3 linked regions of the Arabidopsis thaliana genome follow. The protein of the gene in region 1 interacts with the protein of each later gene in a biochemical or structural test. Each region holds a gene or a part of one and is shown in the gene's direction. Other genes may lie near its edges. The genes, in order: BEL1, SEP3 and AG.

Region 1 (8,027 bases):
GATTGCTGTCATGCATACGTGCAAAAAGATACATATAGTGAAAATACTAAACATATTCACTTGAGAAAACACCTACTGAAGTAGTTTATTTATACAATGCTATACGACACGTCGTCTTACAATGATCCGTTGATACGTGTTAATTTAAATCAGACTAATTAGAAAATTTTCCTTGTTATTCCTCCGAATTAATTAATATTCACACTATCTTCAAGAATTCAAACACAACCTCTTGCAAGTTATGTTATGCATGTTAATTATTAATTGTCACTAAGTACTTTTTTCATATCTAATTTTTTTCTATATTTATCTCATAATTTGTTGTTTTACTTGCCTGTTCGTTCAAATATTTGAACCGTTATCTAGAAAAAAGAACTCAATAATGACAATGCATGCGTATTTCGATAAAGTTCACCTTATGATTTGTTTCTTATCTTTTTGGTGAAATATAATTGCTTGACCTCGAACATGAATTCAACTTCAATTCTTCGATTTTGTTTTCAACAATTGGTTAAGCACTCAAACTATACATTATTAACTTAATTAACTCAGTTCCCTATTTATTAGATAGTTATGGGAAAATAGTTTTCGAAGTATTCACATTGAGGGACCAAAAACAACTGGTCCCCGAAGCAATAATTAGGAAACAACTTTGGTTAAGGGGCAAACATATATACCTCTCTCTCTCTCTCTCTCTTCGATTCATCAATCATATATGAAAAGAAATTGATATAAAAATAATATATATGCGTGGATATGTAAAGTTGGACCACACTATGAACATGTCTGCAAGAATGTATAAAGAGGGGAGAGTGAGATCATGAGTCTGAGAAGCAGTTTCTAGTTTCAAGTTTCAAGAACCCTTAAAAACCCTAAAGCTCAAAACTGTGTACTGTCTCCGACATTTATCAGATCTATCAGATTTTTCCCTTTTTTCCACACTTATGATCTCATTGTTTTTTTCTCCTTGTATTCTTTTAACGGTTATGATTGATTTGTTTTATTTTATGTGCCACCTTAGATTATCATGGATGCTCCTTTTACATGTTAGAAACATTTTGAATATATGTTGATGACAATAAATATTTTTCTCTAATCTGTTTGCTCTTATAAATGCTTTAATACATAGTGAAGCAATAGCGCTAGATCATACCTCTAAAGTTTATATCGTAGATTTACAAATACTAAGACATTTTCTTTTCACTTTTCCGCTTAAGTGATTTATGTGATACAATTTCATCATCAATAACTCTAAGAGTAGCAATAACATTAAGTTCACTTATTTTGCAAAATCTAGGGATAACAGTTTATATATTTATCTCAAAGATAAAATGTTTTATCTTTCTTATTTAACAAATATCATACGGATATATATATACATTTATCATACGGTGTTAATATAAATCTGATAACACAAAAGATACTTTATTTTTTAAATCACATATGAAAAACTATACCACTTATTTACTTAGAATTTTATCGCGACGTAGAAAAATATTAGGTCTGCTAACCTGCGCACCTGCTGCGATCATTCTCTTAAATAAAAAAGGTTGTCGACAAAAATAAAATAAAAAAGGTCTGAAGTGATGACGTCAATCATCAGTGGAGGGTATTTTCGGGATATCAAAAGATTGAAAAAAGGATTCTTTGTGGAATTTGGTATGAAACGGCGGAAAGAGCTTCCGTTTCGGTTGGACCACTTCCCCTTTTAAATGTATGTAATCGCCAAGATGTTTTCACCCACTCACAACATGTCGCGTGTTTGTTACGTGACTAAACCAATTAATTGGGTTTAGTTCTGGTGTTTATACATATTGCGCATGGCTGATTTTATCAATTAATGGAGTACCAAATTGTGGATGCTTCATTTTGAACTAAAATTACCAAATTTTTATAGTGAAATATATGTCAATAAGTTTTGAGAAATCATTGTTATTTTTTTTGTCATAAATCTGAATAGTTATTTTCTTTTGGTTTTGTAATGAATTTATAACATATTAGTATTACTTAAAATTGTCCTATTAATTATCTGAGAAGGTCAGTATTAGAATATAGATGCTTTATTCAATTGAGTTGTTTTTCTTAGACATTGGCGCGTGGAAGAGGATATATAAAGTTCATATAAATGTGAATATGTAAGAATTGGAGAAGAAAATAAAATGGTCCCAAAGAGAGACGAAAATAAATGCATTTTTTTGGGTGGAATGAATATAAAGAAAGAAAGACATTAGAAAGAAAAAAGAAGCAAAAAAAATGGAGGACCACTTAATCACCTCTCATGCACAGTCCCTTAGTTTGGGAACAATTCTTGACAACAATTATAAATACTCCAATTCTGAAAACTAATAGTTTGTTATTAACGTATAATCTCAAAGTTTTGGATATTCTTATCCTGTACTTCCTTGATAGTTTCAGTTAACAGTTTGTAATTAACACATGTATTTAATTTGGAAACAAAAAAATGAATGTATAGATGATTTTTTTTTTGAATTGTTGGTAAATATATGAACTTGACGTATATAGCAATAGTATACTATATTTAAGCAACTGAATGTGAATATTCTATAACACAAGTAATATCAATTTTTTGTGATATTGTTGGTTATAAGTTATATTCGAATTTGTCATTTATAAGAAAACTCACTGGTTTATCCATCCAATGAAAAGAAGAAAGCTTTTTGGGTGACTCTAATAAATATTAGCGGTTAAATAACTACAAACACAGTGTTGTTTTTGTCTCTTCTATGTATCTTTTTATGTCCTCTTTTACAACTTGGCTTTGATGTTAACTAATCAAAGATTATCCTACTTAAAAACTATTTAATTAAATAATTTTTAATTTCTTTAAAATTAATTAATTTCTTGATATGTTTTTGTAACGCCAATTAATTATACGTTTTTCATAATGTGGTGTTTGACTTATGGTTTGAATGTTAAGATGTCGTATATATCTAAATTCTAAAGAAAGAAATTTGCAAATTTTGTAATAAACACTATTTTTACAACAATTAATAATACATGTGCCAAGCAGAAGAACGACTATATTAGTTTTCTATGTCAACATTTAAGAAACATTTATTTAAAATTTGAATATTTGATTTTGTATGTCAGCAATGTTTAAGAAAACTTTGATTTTTTGTTTTCCTTCTTTTGCGTACATATTAAATGGAATTTAATAGAAAACCATTAAATCTTGATATAATTAACTTCTTCGCCCTTGCAGTTACTAACAAGGAGACTTTTGTTTTGGTACTTTCTCGATTAGTTTAGTGACCGACCAACAACGTATTTTAAAACTCAAAACACAATCTCTTTCACGTACTGTGCGAAGTGCAAGTCGAATAATGACATCAGTCCATTTGTGTTGTATTACACGGGACTACGATCTCTATTCTACTATATATAATTACTATTAATTAAAATGTTTATATAGTTATGATATGGTTGATAGTAATTTAATAGTAATTGTTAAACAGTAGAGAAGTGACACTGAGACATATCTGAGAAAAGCCTGAACTCAACTCCTACTTCTGGTTTGATTTCTTGGGATTCGTTCTCTTTCATTTACTTACCTCTCCATCTATACACCAACATATATATATATATATTGGTATGTTAATTCTCCAAAAAAAAAAAAAACTATTTTAGGAGCAAAACTTTTTCACAGTTATTCATTTTTTAAGTTAACTTAACTTCTCTTCTTTGTTTGAAAATTCATTTATCATCAAATAATTCTGTTATAAATTAGACCTGATAATAATTCTTTAACAAAGAAAATATATTTTAGGAGCAAAATAGGCAGAGCCGCAGAGGCATACATGTATTATATATAACGATTATTTATGTATAGAAAGGGACACCTTTTGTACAAAATACTAGTTAAATTTGTACATTCACGTGACTGGTTGGCTAAATTTAGAATATTATTATTTTCAATTAAAAATCATCGTCAATGTTCAAATATTGCTTGAGATACGCTATGCTTCATAAAAATGTTTAAAAAGTAGTTCCAAAAAATATTTTCACCAAAAAAAAAAGTAGTTCCAAAAATATTCATTTAATAACAAAATTTGCCTACATAAGCTTAGCAAACGACACTAACACCAAAATTGATATCATTTTCTTAGATAACATATTGTATACATATCTACATACATACTAAATACATATACACGTAGATTACACGTATGGATTCAGCAATAAAAATCAAAATACTAAATACATATATACATATATATATATATATATGAACATTTAAATACTAAATTATGTTTAATAAATAATTAAATCAACGTAGAGATATGTCATATGAAGATGGCTTGTATAATTAGTTTGTGTACCGGGCAAAGGATCTCTAATTTTTGTTTTCTTTAGTTCAGTTTAATTATTTGTTATCTATCCAATCAATTTTTTTTCTAAACTGTTTGGACCAATGTACGTACGTACCATCCTTTTTGATTTTTTTTGTAAACTAAATTTTCGAATTAGCAGGTTCTTAATAATTGAACGAAGAAAATAAAGAATAGAGGTAGACACCTGTAGTATTTTCTTGGTCAGACCAATAATTTATAATTCAACGTCAAAGAAGAAGAAAAATATAAACCATTATTTCATTATGACTTACGTATACCAAAATACACAAATTAAATGTATAATTGTGAGGCATTTTATATGCGGGAAAAAATAAAATAAAAAGAATATTAATATTTCTTTTGAAAATTGTAAAGCATTTTGACCCACTTGTGATATATATATATATATAGATATATATAGAGAGAGAGATTAAAACATTGATGGCTAGCTATAGAGTCTATGGCAGGGTCATGATCACCTGTCTTCTGATCTCTGAAGAGATACCAATCTGATTTTTTCTCTTCCTAGGTTTAATTTTATTTTACCATTTTATAATTCTTTATTTTTGCCTGTAGTACAATTTACAGACCCATACTAAAAGAAAAATTAAATTTTGTCAAAGTACAAAACAAAGAGAGAGGTGAAGCCACACAATCTCTTTTCTTCTCTCTCTCTCTGTTATATCTCTTCTGTTTAATTCTTTTATTCTTCTTCGTCTATCTTCTCCTATAATCTCTTCTCTCTCCCTCTTCACCTAAAGAATAAGAAGAAAAATAATTCACATCTTTATGCAAACTACTTTCTTGTAGGGTTTTAGGAGCTATCTCTATTGTCTTGGTTCTGATACAAAGTTTTGTAATTTTCATGGTATGAGAAGATTTGCCTTTCTATTTTGTTTATTGGTTCTTTTTAACTTTTTCTTGGAGATGGGTTCTTGTAGATCTTAATGAAACTTCTGTTTTTGTCCCAAAAAGAGTTTTCTTTTTTCTTCTCTTCTTTTTGGGTTTTCAATTCTTGAGAGACATGGCAAGAGATCAGTTCTATGGTCACAATAACCATCATCATCAAGAGCAACAACATCAAATGATTAATCAGATCCAAGGGTTTGATGAGACAAACCAAAACCCAACCGATCATCATCATTACAATCATCAGATCTTTGGCTCAAACTCCAACATGGGTATGATGATAGACTTCTCTAAGCAACAACAGATTAGGATGACAAGTGGTTCGGATCATCATCATCATCATCATCAGACAAGTGGTGGTACTGATCAGAATCAGCTTCTGGAAGATTCTTCATCTGCCATGAGACTATGCAATGTTAATAATGATTTCCCAAGTGAAGTAAATGATGAGAGACCACCACAAAGACCAAGCCAAGGTCTTTCCCTTTCTCTCTCCTCTTCAAATCCTACAAGCATCAGTCTCCAATCTTTCGAACTCAGACCCCAACAACAACAACAACAAGGGTATTCCGGTAATAAATCAACACAACATCAGAATCTCCAACACACGCAGATGATGATGATGATGATGAATAGTCACCACCAAAACAACAACAATAACAATCATCAGCATCATAATCATCATCAGTTTCAGATTGGGAGTTCCAAGTATTTGAGTCCAGCTCAAGAGCTACTGAGTGAGTTTTGCAGTCTTGGAGTAAAGGAAAGCGATGAAGAAGTGATGATGATGAAGCATAAGAAGAAGCAAAAGGGTAAACAACAAGAAGAGTGGGACACAAGTCACCACAGCAACAATGATCAACATGACCAATCTGCGACTACTTCTTCAAAGAAACATGTTCCACCACTTCACTCTCTTGAGTTCATGGAACTTCAGAAAAGAAAAGCCAAGTTGCTCTCCATGCTCGAAGAGGTATATATATTTTCAAGAAATTATTTCATTACTACTATCAAAACTTACATGAGTTTCTTAGAAAATCTAATCCTTTTTTATTTGGTTTCAACTTATTCCTAAAAATGTAAAATACCCACAAGTCTTTTACAAATCTTTTTTTTTTTCCTTTCATTTGGTTTCAACTTATTCCTAAATATGTAAGATACCCATAAATCTTGTATTTTTTCGATTCTTGATTAGGTCCATATATTTCTTAAAGTTACAAATTTCTTTTAGATATTAAGATAAAAAGATTCTTTTTTGTCTTCATTCTTTCATGTATTCTCGTCGAAAACAAGTTCGATCGTATCAACTACGAAAAGATCAACCCTTTTAATTCCTTTACTCATTATTTCTTTTTTTCTATAGAACCAAAATATAATTTTGTTTTCTTTGCTTTGAGCTAATTTGGAGACTCTAGTGGTCCTCCATATTTATAGCAATCAGTTTCATCATCATAAGCCATAACGAGTTGTTTCTTTTTCGTGTATTTACTCATTCTAAGAATCTACATTTACACGATTGTGATTGAAATCTTTGTGAATGGTGTGGGGTAACGTTTTTTTGCGGTTTTTTGGCAGCTTAAAAGAAGATATGGACATTACCGAGAGCAAATGAGAGTTGCGGCGGCAGCCTTTGAAGCGGCGGTTGGACTAGGAGGGGCAGAGATATACACTGCGTTAGCGTCAAGGGCAATGTCAAGACACTTTCGGTGTTTAAAAGACGGACTTGTGGGACAGATTCAAGCAACAAGTCAAGCTTTGGGAGAGAGAGAAGAGGATAATCGTGCGGTTTCTATTGCAGCACGTGGAGAAACTCCACGGTTGAGATTGCTCGATCAAGCTTTGCGGCAACAGAAATCGTATCGCCAAATGACTCTTGTTGACGCTCATCCTTGGCGTCCACAACGCGGCTTGCCTGAACGCGCAGTCACAACGTTGAGAGCTTGGCTCTTTGAACACTTTCTTCACCCGTAAGTTATTTCATATACATCCTCTTAATATATTTACACATACCTAAAAGTTACTAATTGTGTCTTTCTGAAGTGATCAATGAAGGTAGAATCACAAGTTAATTGGGTATATTTATGGAGCTATATAAAACCTCTTTAACGATTTTATTTCATTGATAGTACGTTGATAAATAGTATGATAGGTTTTTTTTGTTTGTTACATGAATATTTTTGAACATATAAAAGTAAAAAAATATGTACATTTTATATAGAGAGATTGAGATTGACTTGACAAGCATAGGATACAATCTACCTTAATCTGTTAATTGCATATAGCTTTTTTATTTTCCTTTTTCTTTCATTTGCACTATTGGTGTGAAAGTGAGTGTACAAACATATACATATACACATGTATATATATGTATACGAACATATAAAATTAAATAAAATAAATTTAACTGGTGGATGAAAGACAGAAATAGAGAAAGGTACAAAGTGGATTGAGAGAGAGAATCAATGTTCTTTACCTAACACTAACAAAAGAGAGAAACTATACATAACTCCTTGCTTTTTTCTCCATGTTTTTATTTTGTTCTTTTTCTTCTACTTTTTATTTATTTAATTTACAGAAGTTATATGTTTATCATCATATGTAACACTTGTCTCCATCAATTCCCAAACACTGCTCAAACAATGAAACATCTTGTTAGTTTTCACCAAACCCTTTACCTTTGCTTCCATTTTATTTGCATCATTCTTCAATCATTTATATCCTTTTTTTTAATTACATATCCATTTGTCTTATATTTTTCCATTAAAG
Region 2 (8,027 bases), on another chromosome or scaffold:
GCATTTGGGGATGATTCAAATGCCCAAGTTTTCTCAAATTTGGACGATTCATTCACCTAAGACATACTTGAGCAACAACAAAGTGAAGTCCACTGTCATATCTTATGTCTCAAAAAGTATTGAAATGTGTCAATTGATATTGGAGAGGCACACTAGCTAAGGGATTATTCAATCAATTTCCAGCAATTTAATTAAACTTATTTGTAGTGAAAGTGGGAAGATAAAAGATCTCACCCTCACATGTTCAAAAAAAAAAGTTGAAAATGGAAGTAATTCAACATGTAGCATAGAGCCCAAATATGTCTCATTTTTTTAATCCATATAATCTCAAATCCTCTTACTTACTTCTAAACATATGGTTCCCATAATCATAACAATGCTATGTTAACATGGCCGGTTCTAAAGGAAGCCAAGTGCAGCAACTGCCTTACGCCTCTACGTGTTAAAATGAAAATGAAGACCACTGACCACTTCTATTAAAGCTTCATTCACTAGTGTATAATTACACATTTTTTTAAGGATTTATGAGTAGTGATTGAGGCCCATATGTTTGTATGTTTGTTTTTCTTACTATATCATTACTTGACTATAAGAGTTGGTTTCCTATTCCATTCTCTTTTCTAACAGCCTATATATGTAAAAATCTAAGCAAAATTTCTTGTCAAGAGGATGATTGTACATTTGTACTTGGTTATCTCGCCCCGGCCCAAAACATACCTAAGGCCAGGTGCTATATCCTCAACCTGCTTTGGCATTCATCAATCTACGAACTTTGGCGTGAAACGGTGACAAGATTAACAAGATTCACTCTCAACTACGATGTTCTACTATCTCAAATCTTTAAAAAAGTGGATCAAACTGTCAAAAGTCTAGTTCGATGGACTAGCTTCAACACTCCTCCAAATCTAGTTCGATGGACTATATATTCTCTTCTGATGCTATCCTTATCTTGGATTAGGCATCTAAACTATGGTTTTAATGGTGTCATGAGGTTTTACAACTTACAAGGATGAAAGTTATTTACTCCCAGTCACTATCTTAATCAAATGACAAAATGTTAACTAGTTTGAGTGCTTATATATTAGTTATGAATCTGAAATTTATTAGTGTGTACATAAGTGATACAACACTTAAATAACATCTACATGAGTTTTTAAATAACATAATAATCCATTATAGTAGTTTACGGCATAAGGTATGAACCAAATTTTTCATTGCACGCTGAAAAGTGAAAACCTTTAAAATGCATAATGACTAAGAGTCTATGACAACAGTAACTTACTATATATTAGAGGAGGGGTGAAAAAAAAAGTAGAGAGACTGGTCCAAAAACTTAACCCCACTCAATAAACCCAGACGTGACTTGTTTGACGATAACTCCATCTTTCTATTTTGGGTAACGAGGTCCCCTTCCCATTACGTCTTGACGTGGACCCTGTCCGTCTATTTTTAGCAGATTAATCCAACGGTTCTTATTCTTTCTTCGACCCTTCACGACATTGCCTCAAAGCCGTCCGATTCTCATCTCACGCCCAATGGACCACATATATCACCAGTACTCCGCAACTTAGCTGTCGTGTAGGATTTCACGTGGCATTTATTTGTTCTAGTTTGTAGTGCAAACATTGCAAGTTGATATGGTCCCCTATCGATCACCGTCGTCTCTTTAGCTTCACATCGAGATTCTTCTTTCTTTCCTACGTGTAATAGCATTTTTGATTTTGAGAATTTCTTTAGAACCGTTGGATCTCTCATCGTTGGTTGATCCATCCATCCAAATGGGACCTGTGTGTGCTCCATCCAGGGCATATGATCCCAAAGCCAAAAGAGTATTTCCAAGTGCTTTCTTTCTTTCTTTCTTTCTTTCTTACTAACCTTTTTTTTTCTTATGCTTTAGACTAAGAAATTTATTCGGCCATATCCACTTTTACGAATATACTTCTTACAAGATCTAGATTTTTTTGAGTTAATTCGGTGTATATAACATTGGCATAGACTGCAATTAAGTAAATGATAATGTGATAATGATGCGATGTGTTGTTATCAAGTAGTATAATATAGATGGCTAAATAGGTAAACAAAATTACGTGTTATATGTACACAATTAGGTAGAACCGTAGAAATTAAACTGAATAAAACCTTTATTAATTTTAAAATTATATGGTACAGATAAATACGGAAAAACATTCACGCTTTACGTAACAATTAAGTGGAAAGTAAAATTATCCCAAAAATATTTATATCACATCATTGTTATATTTCTAAGTTTTTTTTATTTCTCTAATGGTATATGTTTTACAGATTGTTTTTTGGGAAAATTCTTAAAGAGACTTGAAGAATGTTTTTTTTTTATTTTCTTGAAATGTTTGACACTTGAAACCGTTTAAAAACTAAATATAGTATATATCATTGTTGGTCTCATACCTTGTAATTCACCACATATATTATCAATGGGGAAGATTTGAAAATTTTTGGGGGATCACAAAACGAAGGAAAGAGTACAAAAAGAGAAGGAAAAGATAGAAGATATATGTTTTTAACTTCATTGGTATGACATCAATAAATAAATAGTTGAATGTACTTTAGTTTCTCTTTTGGTTTAATGCACATCATCTCGATCAATTGTCATCATCTTACATTGAATTATACGACCAGATCTGATAACAAGTGAATTCGTACTTGCCCTTCCCTTTCTTCTCATACGTCCTTCTAACTAATTTTGATTGTAACTTATAATTATATAACCATATTTAATTTTATTTTATCTAAAACCAATTGAAGCAAATTAAAATATCATAAATCTTGAGTCCCACATGAAGACAATATATAAAACTCGTGCAAATTTGCTTAAAATGCTTCTATGAGACCATGACCAAGTGAGATTAATAAGCGATTCAATGTGCAAATCAAAAGAGAAAAGAAGCTAATGGGTTTAAATATAACCAAACAGAATAATAATGCTATGTTTAGTTTTTCTAATTGAATCATACCTTTGTGTCCATCACCTACTTACCGGTCAGAATAAAGCAATTACGTCTGCAACCAAAAAGCACTAAGACTTTCGGTCAGACATGATCTCTAACATCGGACGAACCCTAAGATAACCAAAATAAACTATATCTTATATTCAAATCTCTGTTTATTTTATCCATTTATGTTTTCTTTCTTTCCCATAATTTTTTTTGTGTCTCATCAGACTCTCTTACCAAACTGAATTTATCAACATGGTTTTTTTTTTGGCCACATCAAAATGGTGGTTTATAAAGTAGACTAATACAAAAGACATTTCTGTTAATTTCACTAACAAAAATAATCTTAGCAGTACTATAGATTGGAAAAGGAAAAGCAAATCTAGCAGTAAGATTTATCAAAACTAGCAGTAAGAGTTTTAGATATCATGAAAACATCACAAACGAGTAGTGTTTTACTTTACATTTTTAACCAATCACAAGGGTAGTTCCGTAAGTTGGGAAAATCGTACGAGGCTTCACCTAGTTAAGGTTAGGTCACATGATTCCCTGAACTCGATTTTATAAGTAAAAAAGAAAAATTTATAAAATCAAAATTTTTTATATAAAAAAATCAGGTGGATTTATCAGACCCTACCATCGAGATGTCGACACGTGTCCAAACTCATTCATTGCCCTACTATTTTCTGTTTAGGGTTGCAATCACTCATCGCACACGCGCCATCTCCACCTTCCATTATTAATCTCTCATTTTCAACATCACACTCTTACGAATCATACGATTTTAATATCTCTGTCTCTCTCAACGTATTAAATAAAAATGGTTTTAAATGTTAGGGTTTTTTGTAGGATTTTCAATTATTAATCTCTATAATTCGATGAACTAAGTAAAAAAGCATCAAACTTTCTTGGCAGAATCACATTTTTCTCTAAACTAAATATGGACTGAAATTGAAAAATTAAACCACTAGCTAGAATAAAGTGTTGGTGAGAGTGGAACTCTAATTTCTCTCCTTTACTAATTATGTATAAACACAAAAATGCACCAAATTTTTAGGTTTGAAAATATCTAAGCATGGATAGGGTAATTAACATTTTTTCTTTCAATTTTGCAATATTTGAATAAATCCTATGAGGGTCTTTGGTACACAATAATTGGAGGGTATATAGTTGAGTCTGAGAGTATATTAGAAAGAGAATATTTCAAGTAATGAAGCTGACATGTTTATATGTACTTTGAGAGAAGTGTTGTGAGATTTGTACAAATGTATATGTACACTTTAAAAAGCAATATAAGATAGATAAAAAAAATATAAAGAAAAAAAGAAAGAAAGAAAGAAAGAAAGAGAGAGGCTCATATATATATAGAATTGCTTGCAAGGAAAGAGAGAGAGAGAGATTGAGATATCTTTTGGGAGAGGAGAAAGAAAAAGAAAATGGGAAGAGGGAGAGTAGAATTGAAGAGGATAGAGAACAAGATCAATAGGCAAGTGACGTTTGCAAAGAGAAGGAATGGTCTTTTGAAGAAAGCATACGAGCTTTCAGTTCTATGTGATGCAGAAGTTGCTCTCATCATCTTCTCAAATAGAGGAAAGCTGTACGAGTTTTGCAGTAGTTCGAGGTATATATCTACTTTTGTATATATATTACTTATAACATAAACATTTTATATACATATTAAGTAACACAAAAATGTCTTGTATGTATGGGTCTCTCTGTGATGTGTTGTTGTGTCGTACGTACGTGTTCTATCATATCCTTTTAAAAGAAGCAAAGAGGAAAAAAAATTTGGGATACCCCAAATCTGTATCATTTTATAACAAGTTTGCTTTTTTGATGTTCTTTTGTGTTTCTCTTTGATTTCCATTTTTGTTTTTGATTTTTTTTCTATTTCTCTTTACATCTATCAAAGTTTTTTTTCTTATATTTTATTGCTTATTTGTTTGTCTACTTAATTCACATTATCTGAGAGAAGAACAATCTATCTGATATGAAATTAGGGTTAATTTCTCTTGTGAGTACTCTTTAATTCACATAAGCTTAAAGTTTCCACCTTTTGATTCTGGGGGTCGTCCAATTCGATCAAATCACTCAATTTTGTTGTCAGATTGATATAAGTTCATAGGGGGATATTGTTTCCACGACAATCCATTTTAGTAACCCTTAGGGGTTTCCAATTTTGGGTTTTGAATTGACGCTAATGTCAAATTCATCTAAAGTCCGTTGGATATGTATACTTGGGGATGGGATTCATCCTTTTTTCTGGGTTCTTTAGATCTTCTCTTAAAAGACTAACAGATTTTGTTGTAAACCCTAGGAAACAGTTAAAAATCCCATTTTTAAAAACATGTTTTGAACTTGATGAGTAAGATTAATGGAAGAAATGATGTTTTTGTGTGGTGTGAAGCATGCTTCGGACACTGGAGAGGTACCAAAAGTGTAACTATGGAGCACCAGAACCCAATGTGCCTTCAAGAGAGGCCTTAGCAGTTGTACCCAATTCTCTTCTCTTTCTTCTAATTACCTTAATTAATTACTCTCAATTTTTACTTTGATTTTTAGAGTCAAATGATTAATGTTATAATTTGTCATATACTTCAGGAACTTAGTAGCCAGCAGGAGTATCTCAAGCTTAAGGAGCGTTATGACGCCTTACAGAGAACCCAAAGGTAAACTAATTAGCTTCTTCAGCTACCTTCAGAGAGTGTTTGTTTTTTTAGTAGATTTTTTTGATGGTTTTGATGTTGAAATAGGAATCTGTTGGGAGAAGATCTTGGACCTCTAAGTACAAAGGAGCTTGAGTCACTTGAGAGACAGCTTGATTCTTCCTTGAAGCAGATCAGAGCTCTCAGGGTACTACTTTGTTCATCAATATCTTTATACACTGATCTATTTCCATAGTAAGATTAAATTTGGTGTTTAATTCTGCAGACACAGTTTATGCTTGACCAGCTCAACGATCTTCAGAGTAAGGTAAATAAAGAAACACTCATTCTCCTCTCTAAATTCCTCATCTAAAAGTAATGTAACCAAGAAAACACAAATATTTGGAGCAGGAACGCATGCTGACTGAGACAAATAAAACTCTAAGACTAAGGGTAATTAATATACATTCTCATATCACCAAATTAATGCATCACTAAATTTGGTTATAATGTGTGTGTGTATATACATATGTGACAGTTAGCTGATGGGTATCAGATGCCACTCCAGCTGAACCCTAACCAAGAAGAGGTTGATCACTACGGTCGTCATCATCATCAACAACAACAACACTCCCAAGCTTTCTTCCAGCCTTTGGAATGTGAACCCATTCTTCAGATCGGGTAACTTTAGACTAGTATAACCAATTTGATTTGAGTTCTATTATAAGCTTTTCTTAAGAAAGTATCTCAAACTACTAAATTTTATGGAGCAGGTATCAGGGGCAACAAGATGGAATGGGAGCAGGACCAAGTGTGAATAATTACATGTTGGGTTGGTTACCTTATGACACCAACTCTATTTGAATCTTTCTCACTTAATCAATCCCTCTCTTTTTTTTTTGACATTTTTAAGATGATGTTTCTATTTTATTACCTCTCTCATGTTTTCTGTCTTGTGTGCATGTGTGTGTGTAATGTTTATGCCCTTCTATTATTCAATAATTTTTTCGACAATTTTGCTTCCTATTTTTACCCATTACTCCTAAACTTCCTGATCCAGTTTCTTTTAAAATAACTCCCATTTTATGCATGTTATCTAACCAATTCTCTTAACTATGATTTATGGTACGATATAACTCACAGTCTCACACTATCTATTTGGTGTTTTTTTGTTTGAGTCTTGAGAAGGGACCGCTTGTTTATCTCTCTTGTTAAAGAGCAACTCACTGGCCACTGCTTATGTATCTGTAGGCCCCACCTATATCATTTTGGCTATATCTATACTTTTGTAGAGGGAGTATTACTATAGAGAAGAAGATAAATTTGGTTCTAATATATCTTGCAGGTAGTTGATATTCTCAATTATCATGAAGATTTGATAGACAAGTTTATCAGATACCTTAAACATAGGTTTAAGATCTCAATTGAAATGTGAATTCACCCGACGATTAGAGTTACGATCTAAGGAAGCGTTTCTTGAATTTTGAGTTTGTTTGATCAAGAGTAGAATGCTTTTCTATTACTAAGGTTGTTAATGCTTATATTCCATGACCAAGGCCAAGAGAACAAACAAAAACATGGTGCCTCTTGATGTATAGTAATGGCTCTTAATGGTCATATACAGAGAAAAAAAGATTAATGTCGTTGCACAAGCTTGAAGTTACTTACTCCTCGTCTTCCTCATTAGTGTCTTCGTCTTCCTCATCCTCATCGCTCCCAATATAGGGCTTCATCTACTTGAAAACCAAATGCTCATGCAGTGGAAAAAGATAACAGAGGTTCAAATTAAGGCAAACAAAACTACAAGTGAGAAAGGGAAACTACAAGTGGTAAGATGTAATGTTTTGACTCAAAACCAGATCAGACAATGAAAAAAAGTATTGATACAAAAAGTCCATCCGGAAGCATAATTACCGCTTGCAGGATGTCATCAGAGATGTCTGTTAGTCGGCCAATGGCATAGATGGTGAGCGGACCAGAGTAGCGTAAATCCTCTAAATACTGTCTAAAAGCCGGACCGACCCGACAAGGATCACAGTCAAGGGGAATAGGACACCTATTGATATCCCAAAAGACTGTTGTTACAGCCACATCATCCTTGTCCAACTGGGTAGCCCAAAGGGAAACTAGTTGTGGTAAGAGCTTGTTTGACTCAAAAAATGGCTAACTAGGATGATGCTGAATTACCATCTGTTCATGTTTTTGACTAGAGAGATGGGTAGTGAAATTTTCAAAGCCTTTGCAAAACGCCTGTGGGACCTGTTTCAGAAAAAGACTTAAAAGACTTGAGACTCAAGGAAAATAATATCCATTATATAAAGATGACAACAAATATTAACGGAAGTAGGAGTGATTGAGAACGATTCTAGTAGAAGAGACGGCTCGCAGGACGTCGTTTATAATAGGCCAATGG
Region 3 (8,027 bases), on another chromosome or scaffold:
TCACCACATGGGTCACAAGCGACAATGGAGGGTCTGTTTCTCTATATCTCTATCAAACACACATTGAGTTTTGTTTGTTTGTCTCTCTGATGTGTTTCTACTTCTACATGTTGTCTTTTTCTTTTCTCAGATGAGGCCATTGACATGCTTTCAGAATTTCGAGCACAAGAAGAAACATAATTGGGATTTGAGCAGCCATGACGGCTCATCATCCGGTTCACATTTGTGATTCTTTAAACGGTTAAAGAAACCATTCTTTTGTATCCATTCCTTCCGGTTTAGTTTGGGTTTCCCCAAAGCAACCGAATTTGACTTTGTATATTTGTTGTACACTGAAGAACTCAAGAAAGTCTTCGTGTATACAAAAACTGCATTTTTTTTATTCTAGTATACAAAATTGTTGTAAGATCTATGATTTTAACCGCAATATATATTTGCTGTTGTAATCTAAAAAATTGGTTTAAGAATATTTATGATTTTTCCTCAATCTTTTATGATCCCTAACTTCGAAAGGTCAAACAGATTTAATGTTTGCTTCTTTTATTCTTTTTAAAAGCTTCTTTCTTTACCGACCATAGTAGCCTCAAATAATTTGAGTTATAGTAGTTGCAAGCATATTCTGCATTTTGGTTATAATTGCACTTTCAAAATCTGAAAGTTGGATATGTTTTTGCAATGTTTCTTTAACTGGAGCATTTGACACTTCAACTTGCTTCAAAATCACTCCGGTACTCATTTTTCTTACCATCTTTTGTTTGTATTCAAATATCAAATGTTTTTTTTTGTTGCTAAAATAATTGAATAATGCATCGACCTAAACGAATAGATAAAGAATCACTAGACTAACACACACCTGTGGTTCTTGTCATTGGATCTCATGTGAGTGTTACTATACTTTTCTATCAAAGGCTTACCCTAAATTGTGAATCCTGTAAAACCACATGAAATTTTATGTCTATCACAAAAGAATACATACACCAAGATTCAAGAATATGAAAACACACATATAATATAGACATTTTTAAGAGGGTCCCAAAAACAGGCTCTTGATCTGGAAACTGTATTAATTTGTATCCAATTATAACCTCATGGGCCACTTTTCCCTGGCTATGCACATTATCATAGGTTATACGATTAAGTTCGTGATGGAAAATATGATTTATTAAAGTTTTCTTCCCGAGTTTGCAACGATTTTCCTTTCTTCAAAATCTAAAATTTATTCGATTAACAAAAAAAACAATTATCGACAAGCAATTCAAAGGAAAAATTGTGAAAAAACAAAAGAATAAGGAGAGAATATGTCCTCCTTCTGTTTTTTTTTACTAAGAGAGAATATATCTTTAATAGGGGATGCTTCTTGCTCGAAGCCATCATTGAGAAGACCTTCATACTTGCGGGAGTCTATGATAGATATCTCAAGAGTTAACTTTAGATACTTTTATGCGATTTCATTTTATTTTTAATGACTTACTATAATAATTATTATTTTTTCATCTAAATAATTCAATTCACGAAATCATCTTAATTATTATTTATATAAATACATGGACAAATAGAAGTGGAAGAACAATGTTTAGAAAACAAATCGAAAAAGATCGCCGACCTTTATTGATCGAGGAAGAGAATTCTGGTGGGATTTTAGAGGGAGGTAAGAGCATAGGTGCTAGAGAGTGTTCGGAGCTCGGAAAATGATTAAAATTGGTTTTGATTACACTTAATTAGTTTAATCTTCTAGTAACACACAAATATGCTAAAATAAACACATAATACATTCATGCAAACACAAAACTTGGCTTAATATTGGCCAATAATTTGAGTGGCACAATCACAATCAAGCCAAAAGCAGCACTGATTTCTCTTTTTTTTTTTCTTTCTAATTAGTCTTAATTCGGTCCAAAACCAAACAAAAATATCTTTAAATTATATTGGAACCTGACGAAAACAAATCTTAAATTCCCACAAAATGCTATATATATAGTATCTAAGTTTGAATGCCAATTCCATATTTTTACGGAATTTATAAAAGTACGCAGAATCTATTTCTAGCAGTTTGGAAAATTTTCAAAATATTTGAAAATTTTCAAATGGTTTGTGGTCTGTTGATCTACTAATCACGTCATACTAATTTTGGGATGGAATGTTACAGAATATATAATTTCAAAACAGAGAGAGTATTCTTTTGTTTTCTGTGAACTGATTTTATTCTAGGTAATATAATGTATCCATTTTTTTTAATGACGAGGAAGAAAAATTAAGGAACAAAAGAATATGCATTAAATTTGATTAGGTAGTGTCATTTAAGTGATCCCTTCTCCAACACAAAATGTATGATTCGACGTCAAATTAATGTTTTAAATATTTATTGCTTTTATTGATCATATATAATTTAATATTTATAATCATTATTACGTGGGAACTTATCTAGTACACATTCTATGTCTTTGTGAACTTAGTACACGAGTAACGGTTTTTCTATTAAATTAAAACCTTCAAAACAACATTTGATGAAAATTTCATAGATTTTACACCAAAATTTCGTAAGAAAAATTGTTGGAGTTCGTATTGTTTTCTTGTAGTAGATGACATTAAAAAAATACATTAAGATACACTAAACAAGAATTATGCATATTGTTTTTTGGTCAAAATCGAGCCTTTACCAAATTGATCGATACATTTTTTCTGATGATACGTTTAGACTAGTTGGATAAAATATTAATCTGTCCTCAAAACCAATTTGCAGTGGATCAATCCATATATCTTCTATATTATTAGGATCTTTGTCTAACTTCCGATGTGTGATATTGTTATTCCTAAGATAAAACACCATTGAAAAACAGTATTTTAAATCGGGTAAATAATTCAGCGAGTCACATATTTTTGTTTTAATAAAAACTCAAATCAAAAGTGATCAAAATATGGTAGAAAGCAACCTTCGATTGTGGTCCATCATGTAAGATACGAGAAGATTTTATGGTTTTTAAAACCCACTTCGACCATGAAAGCTTGACCCAAAGCAATTGAGTTGTTTCTTTTATAAATGACCTAATCAATTTCCATACATACAAGCATACATGTGACGTAAAGGAAATCTAATTATGTACTAATTTGTAAATTTTACTAGTATTCAATTCAGTAATTCTTACTAAACTTACTTTAACTCTTGCTAATTAAATATACTACTAGAGAAGGTAAATTACATGCAGTTAAGCTATACTATTTTTTCTAATTGCAAGAAAGAAAGAAAAAGTACAAAAGAAAAGAAAGCACATTGCAAGTGGATGTATATATAGTTATAGGGAAATAAATATGAATATGGACTGTATATACATATAGGTTTCTCTTATCTCTATCAAATTACCTTAAATGGGTTCATAAAGATGGAGATCAAAGACTACACATCACATGCTACTCTCCCTCTTCTTTTGGCATAACCTTACTCCATTTATACATTGTGCTCCTCAATTATTCAACATTTTTTAAAAATAACTTATTTAACAAAATGTTAGAAAATATCTACCCAATTTTTTTCTTCCACATACGAGCTACAAAGATCTTTATCAAATAAAACAAGAAAGATTATTAATCCATATTTTGGGTTAAATTTTAATCCATTTAGCCAATTAGGAGAACTATTTTAACAGTTAGATACTTTTCAACAAAATTTATTAAGTAGTCACCTATGTATATTCATATAGTAGTTTCACAAACAATATGGAGAGCTGTGATCTTGAAGAGGGCGACAAAAGTCAAAAAGAAAATGTAAAAAAAGAGAGAGAGATTAAAGTAGTTGGAGAAGAGAGAAAAGTCTGGTTACCTTCTAATTGAGTCAGAAGCATTACACTTAAATAACTTTCCAAATTAAGCCCTACGTCTTGTCCAGCCCCTTAAAAGTACGCTTCATCTCCCTATTTCCCCTATAAACCCTAAAACCCTATTTATCTTATTAATTTATCATTTTTTTTATATGTCAATATCACAACAAGTAAACATCATCAACTTCAAATCTCACTAACATAAATAGTATGCTAATTTTCTTCACTATCTGAGTAATTTTCTCCTTCTTTTTACATCATTCGATTCTATATTTGCCACACCATTAAATAGATAAGTATATTGGTTCTTACTACTAATAATCAGTTTAGCCATATATCTAATTACACAGTTTTCTTTTATATGTTACTTTATATTTGTACACCATCAGTTACTATATACGGAATAAATTACACCTCATCATGTAATTACAATATTATCATAAATTTTTTGAAATTCTATTCTTTAATATTTTCAGTATCCAGAATCCATTTTCTTATATTTATTCTGGCAAAATAATGTAAAATGGTATCAAATATACAACACCATATATTTGTTTATAAATAACTTCCTTAATTAGTGAAACAAATTTTCCTGCAGAATGTCACTTAAATCTTTAAAACAATTCACAAAAGAAAAGGGAATAGAGCTGAAATTTTTTCCTCTTTAAAAAGATCAAGATTTAGTAAAAACTAGAAACAAAGAAGAAGATCGATATTTGTTGTAACAAAAAAATGTACTGATCAGATTTACCCAAAGATTTTAGTGCCTCAAAAACTTTCACATGAAAAGCAAAGACAAGTAATGGTAAGTAGAGTCTGCATCTCATGAGTGATTGCCCAACTTGAACCCTCTTTTCATTTAGACCTTTGTGAAAGACCACACAAGAACTACCCACCAATAACTCTCTCTTTTTTTCTTCATTTCCAAAAACTATTTATTCATTTCTACAATTTCTCAATTTGGGGGTGTCCTTAATAAGTATTATATTTATGAAAAGTCCGGATGTATGGTGGGTGTTATTTATGGTAATTAACACTATTTATTAATAATATTTTTCATGTGATTTCAAAAGCTGATGTACTCATGCTTTGTGAACCTTTAGATTGCTCTATGTCAATCTTTTATTTTAACCTATCATATGTCTAAATGTACTGAAAAGAAACACCAGTTTAATTAATTATACTTCCCTCATATATAACTATCAACCAAGTACAAAACTTTTGTCAATTCTCAAAATCAACTTTCACCACATAATTATCTAACATGTGTATGTTCCAAAACCAGTTTAAATAGAATTACTTTTCAGAAAATACATGTATATTAACTCTATCTAATAAAGAAGAAACACATACTTATCTCATAGATTCCATTCATAAAACTATGCTTTAGTGAGTAAGAAAACCAGTAATCAAACACAAATTGACAAGACACTATATGGATGTAAAAAGTGGGGAAAAATGGTGATAAATAGTAGAGAAAATTAAAAAGAAAAAAAATATTCCTTTATAAATGTATATACCCATCTCTTCACCAGCACAACCTTACCTTCCATTTTCTGCAACTTCTCCAAATCTCATACTTTCCAGAAAATCATTTTCCCAAGAAAAATAAAACTTTCCCCTTTGTTCTTCTCCCCCCAACAGGTCAGGCTAGTATTTTGTTGTTCCCCAATCCTTTCAAACATTATCTTCTTCATAATATTACTTTGCTTCACTTCTTTTGGTCCTTAAACCAAATTTTTGTTCTTCTTTAGTTTCCTTTTTTCCCGTTTTGATTTGATTCTTTTTATGTTATTTAGAGAGAAACAAGATTCACAAATTCTCTGATCTTCTTTAACTCTTTAAAACTTTTCTTTTTCACACTCTAGATTTAAATTATCCCTATGGTTACAAAACAATTTTGTTCTTAGTTTATAACTTGTGTATTACCATCCTTTCTTGATTAACTCTTGTTAGGAGAATATGAATGTAAGATCAATAAAGTTCTTCAACTTTATAATTCCTTCTATAAGATGTGTGTCGGCAACAGAATTAAATTAAATCTTTATAGTTTAACTTTAATCTCAACCATAATTCAAAAGAATAGAAAACATGAAGAATCTTGAGTCTTTTCAAGAAAATCTTGATTGGTTTTTTGTTGGATTCTTGTAATTCTGTACTAATCAAATTTTGCCCTAAACGTTTTTGGCTTTGGAGCAGCAATCACGGCGTACCAATCGGAGCTAGGAGGAGATTCCTCTCCCTTGAGGAAATCTGGGAGAGGAAAGATCGAAATCAAACGGATCGAGAACACAACGAATCGTCAAGTCACTTTTTGCAAACGTAGAAATGGTTTGCTCAAGAAAGCTTACGAGCTCTCTGTTCTTTGTGATGCTGAAGTCGCACTCATCGTCTTCTCTAGCCGTGGTCGTCTCTATGAGTACTCTAACAACAGGTTTCTTCTTCTTCTCGTGCTCTGTTCTTACTTTATTAATAATTAAATTATTTTTAAAGTCCGATTTAGGGTTTTATGTTTATGTTAAAGCATAAATCTTTTACGAGGGTTTTCGATCTTCTAAGCTAGATTTGATTCTCTTCTTCTTGAATGCTCTTATGGGTAGGATTATTTTTCACTTTTTTCCTTCATATTCCACACACATATATATATAAACACACTAACATTAGTGGGAATATTTGTTTGATATGTTTATTTTATTTACTTCGGGGGTTTTTGTAACAATTTTGTAGATCTAATTTCTTGTTCTTCATGTGTATATTAATTTTCCCTTAAGACTTAAATAAAAAGAGAGAATTTGTTATATATAGATATATGAAGTGAGGGAAATGGTACAAAGTTAAAGGAGATCTGAGTGAGAGTTAGATAATAAATGAAAAGAAATAAGAAACCATCAGGGTTTTTTCTAATGTGGAGTTTTAGATTCAGTTTTGTAGAACTAAGATTCACTTTGTTGGGTGTTCTTTCTTCACTCATTTCTGTTATTATAATAATAATAAAATCTTATATCTTTCTATTTTCCTTACTAACAAGTACTTGAAGATTTAGATATATTTATAGATCTGGTGTTGTAATAGGTAAAAACTTGATTTTTATGACTATAAAAGTAAGTTTTGGGAAACAAATTGGGGAGAGAGTAAGGAAGGACTATGAGGTCATATCTTCTGTTTTGTGATCATCCATCCTCCATTGTTGTTAATGTCTGTGTCTCTCTTTTTCTTCTCTTCTTTCTCTTACTTTCCTTTCTTATCTCTAGCTCTCTTTCTCTCTCATGAATTATATCATATCATATATTTGATACAAACACATGTGATGGTAAGTGAGAGTGAATAAGGTGAAACTAGCTAGATTTTTGAGTTTTCATGAAATTTTAACTTATATGAGTGATAGAAAATAATGGAACTTATACGTACATGTAGGACAATTTAGATGGTTATCTAAGTTTTTGTTTTTGTTTTCTCTTGAGAATGTTAAATGTTAGTGTTATTTTTGTAGTTTTGGAAAATTATATATGAGCTAAGATTAGTTTAGAAGTGGTCAAAAGAAACATAGATTTGAAATTTCAACTGAATTTTCAAGATTTCAAATAGTCAATGAAACAAGGAGGTAATTAAGACAAATTAGCTTATGGGGACTCTTTTTTGTTATTCCTTAAAATTACTCTTTTTAAAATTAAAAATAACTAATCTCATTTCGAACTACATTACTCAAACTAGTAATCTCTAATTCGACACGCAATTTCCAAATACTTATTAGTAGAGAGTCCCACGTGATTACTTTCTTCTCCACCAAAACATAAAACATGTCAAGATTAAATGGTGTTTGAAAATTAAAAGATCAATTTTCTTAATCGTTTACAGTTGTCAACTCTCATGTCCTGAAATATATAATTCTCATGTCCAAAACAAGAAAAGCTAACAACGACTTCAAATTAAATCAGTCAATCAAAATTAGTCTTCATTTACCTACTAATTTCTTTTTATATATCCGATGGGTACTCTACGAAATCAGAGTTTCGTTTCTTTATTTATTTTCTTTTATAAGATTTTTGAGGTTTTTTCAGAGGTTGGAATTGAGCGCAAGATTAGGTTTTGGGTCTGTAAGATTTGTTGTCTTTGTTAAAGAATCTTTGATCACGTCATCACTCAGATATTATTTCTTTTTATTTTTCACTTGTATTTTTACTAATTTATTATAAAGTTTTGTTAGTTTCAGTTCTT

The links.
Region 2: the proteins of BEL1 (region 1) and SEP3 form a complex in vitro, tested with the Arabidopsis thaliana proteins (one study listed by BioGRID).
Region 3: the proteins of BEL1 (region 1) and AG form a complex in vitro, tested with the Arabidopsis thaliana proteins (one study listed by BioGRID).

Annotation. Positions count from the first base shown.
Region 1 is NC_003076.8:16,575,048-16,583,074, forward strand, and holds the start of BEL1 (POX (plant homeobox) family protein), read left to right. Parts: upstream 1-4,888; 5' UTR 4,889-5,376; coding exon 5,377-6,234; intron 6,235-6,836; coding exon 6,837-7,228; intron 7,229-8,027. UniProt on the Arabidopsis thaliana protein: Plays a major role in ovule patterning and in determination of integument identity via its interaction with MADS-box factors. Formation of complex with AG-SEP dimers negatively regulates the carpel identity process and favors the maintenance of ovule identity.
Region 2 is NC_003070.9:8,592,241-8,600,267, reverse strand, and holds SEP3 (K-box region and MADS-box transcription factor family protein), read left to right. Parts: upstream 1-4,169; 5' UTR 4,170-4,405; coding exon 4,406-4,590; intron 4,591-5,376; coding exon 5,377-5,461; intron 5,462-5,570; coding exon 5,571-5,638; intron 5,639-5,722; coding exon 5,723-5,822; intron 5,823-5,900; coding exon 5,901-5,942; intron 5,943-6,025; coding exon 6,026-6,067; intron 6,068-6,152; coding exon 6,153-6,295; intron 6,296-6,387; coding exon 6,388-6,478; 3' UTR 6,479-6,692; downstream 6,693-8,027. Other genes in the region: AT1G24256 (uncharacterized protein), read right to left, coding at 7,279-7,347, 7,529-7,720, 7,802-7,873. UniProt on the Arabidopsis thaliana protein: Probable transcription factor active in inflorescence development and floral organogenesis.
Region 3 is NC_003075.7:10,377,901-10,385,927, forward strand, and holds the start of AG (K-box region and MADS-box transcription factor family protein), read left to right. Parts: upstream 1-4,955; 5' UTR 4,956-5,780; intron 5,781-6,011; 5' UTR 6,012-6,016; coding exon of another isoform or gene 6,017-6,140; coding exon 6,141-6,246; intron 6,247-8,027. Other genes in the region: AT4G18950 (Integrin-linked protein kinase family), read left to right, coding at 1-31, 131-229. UniProt on the Arabidopsis thaliana protein: Probable transcription factor involved in the control of organ identity during the early development of flowers. Is required for normal development of stamens and carpels in the wild-type flower.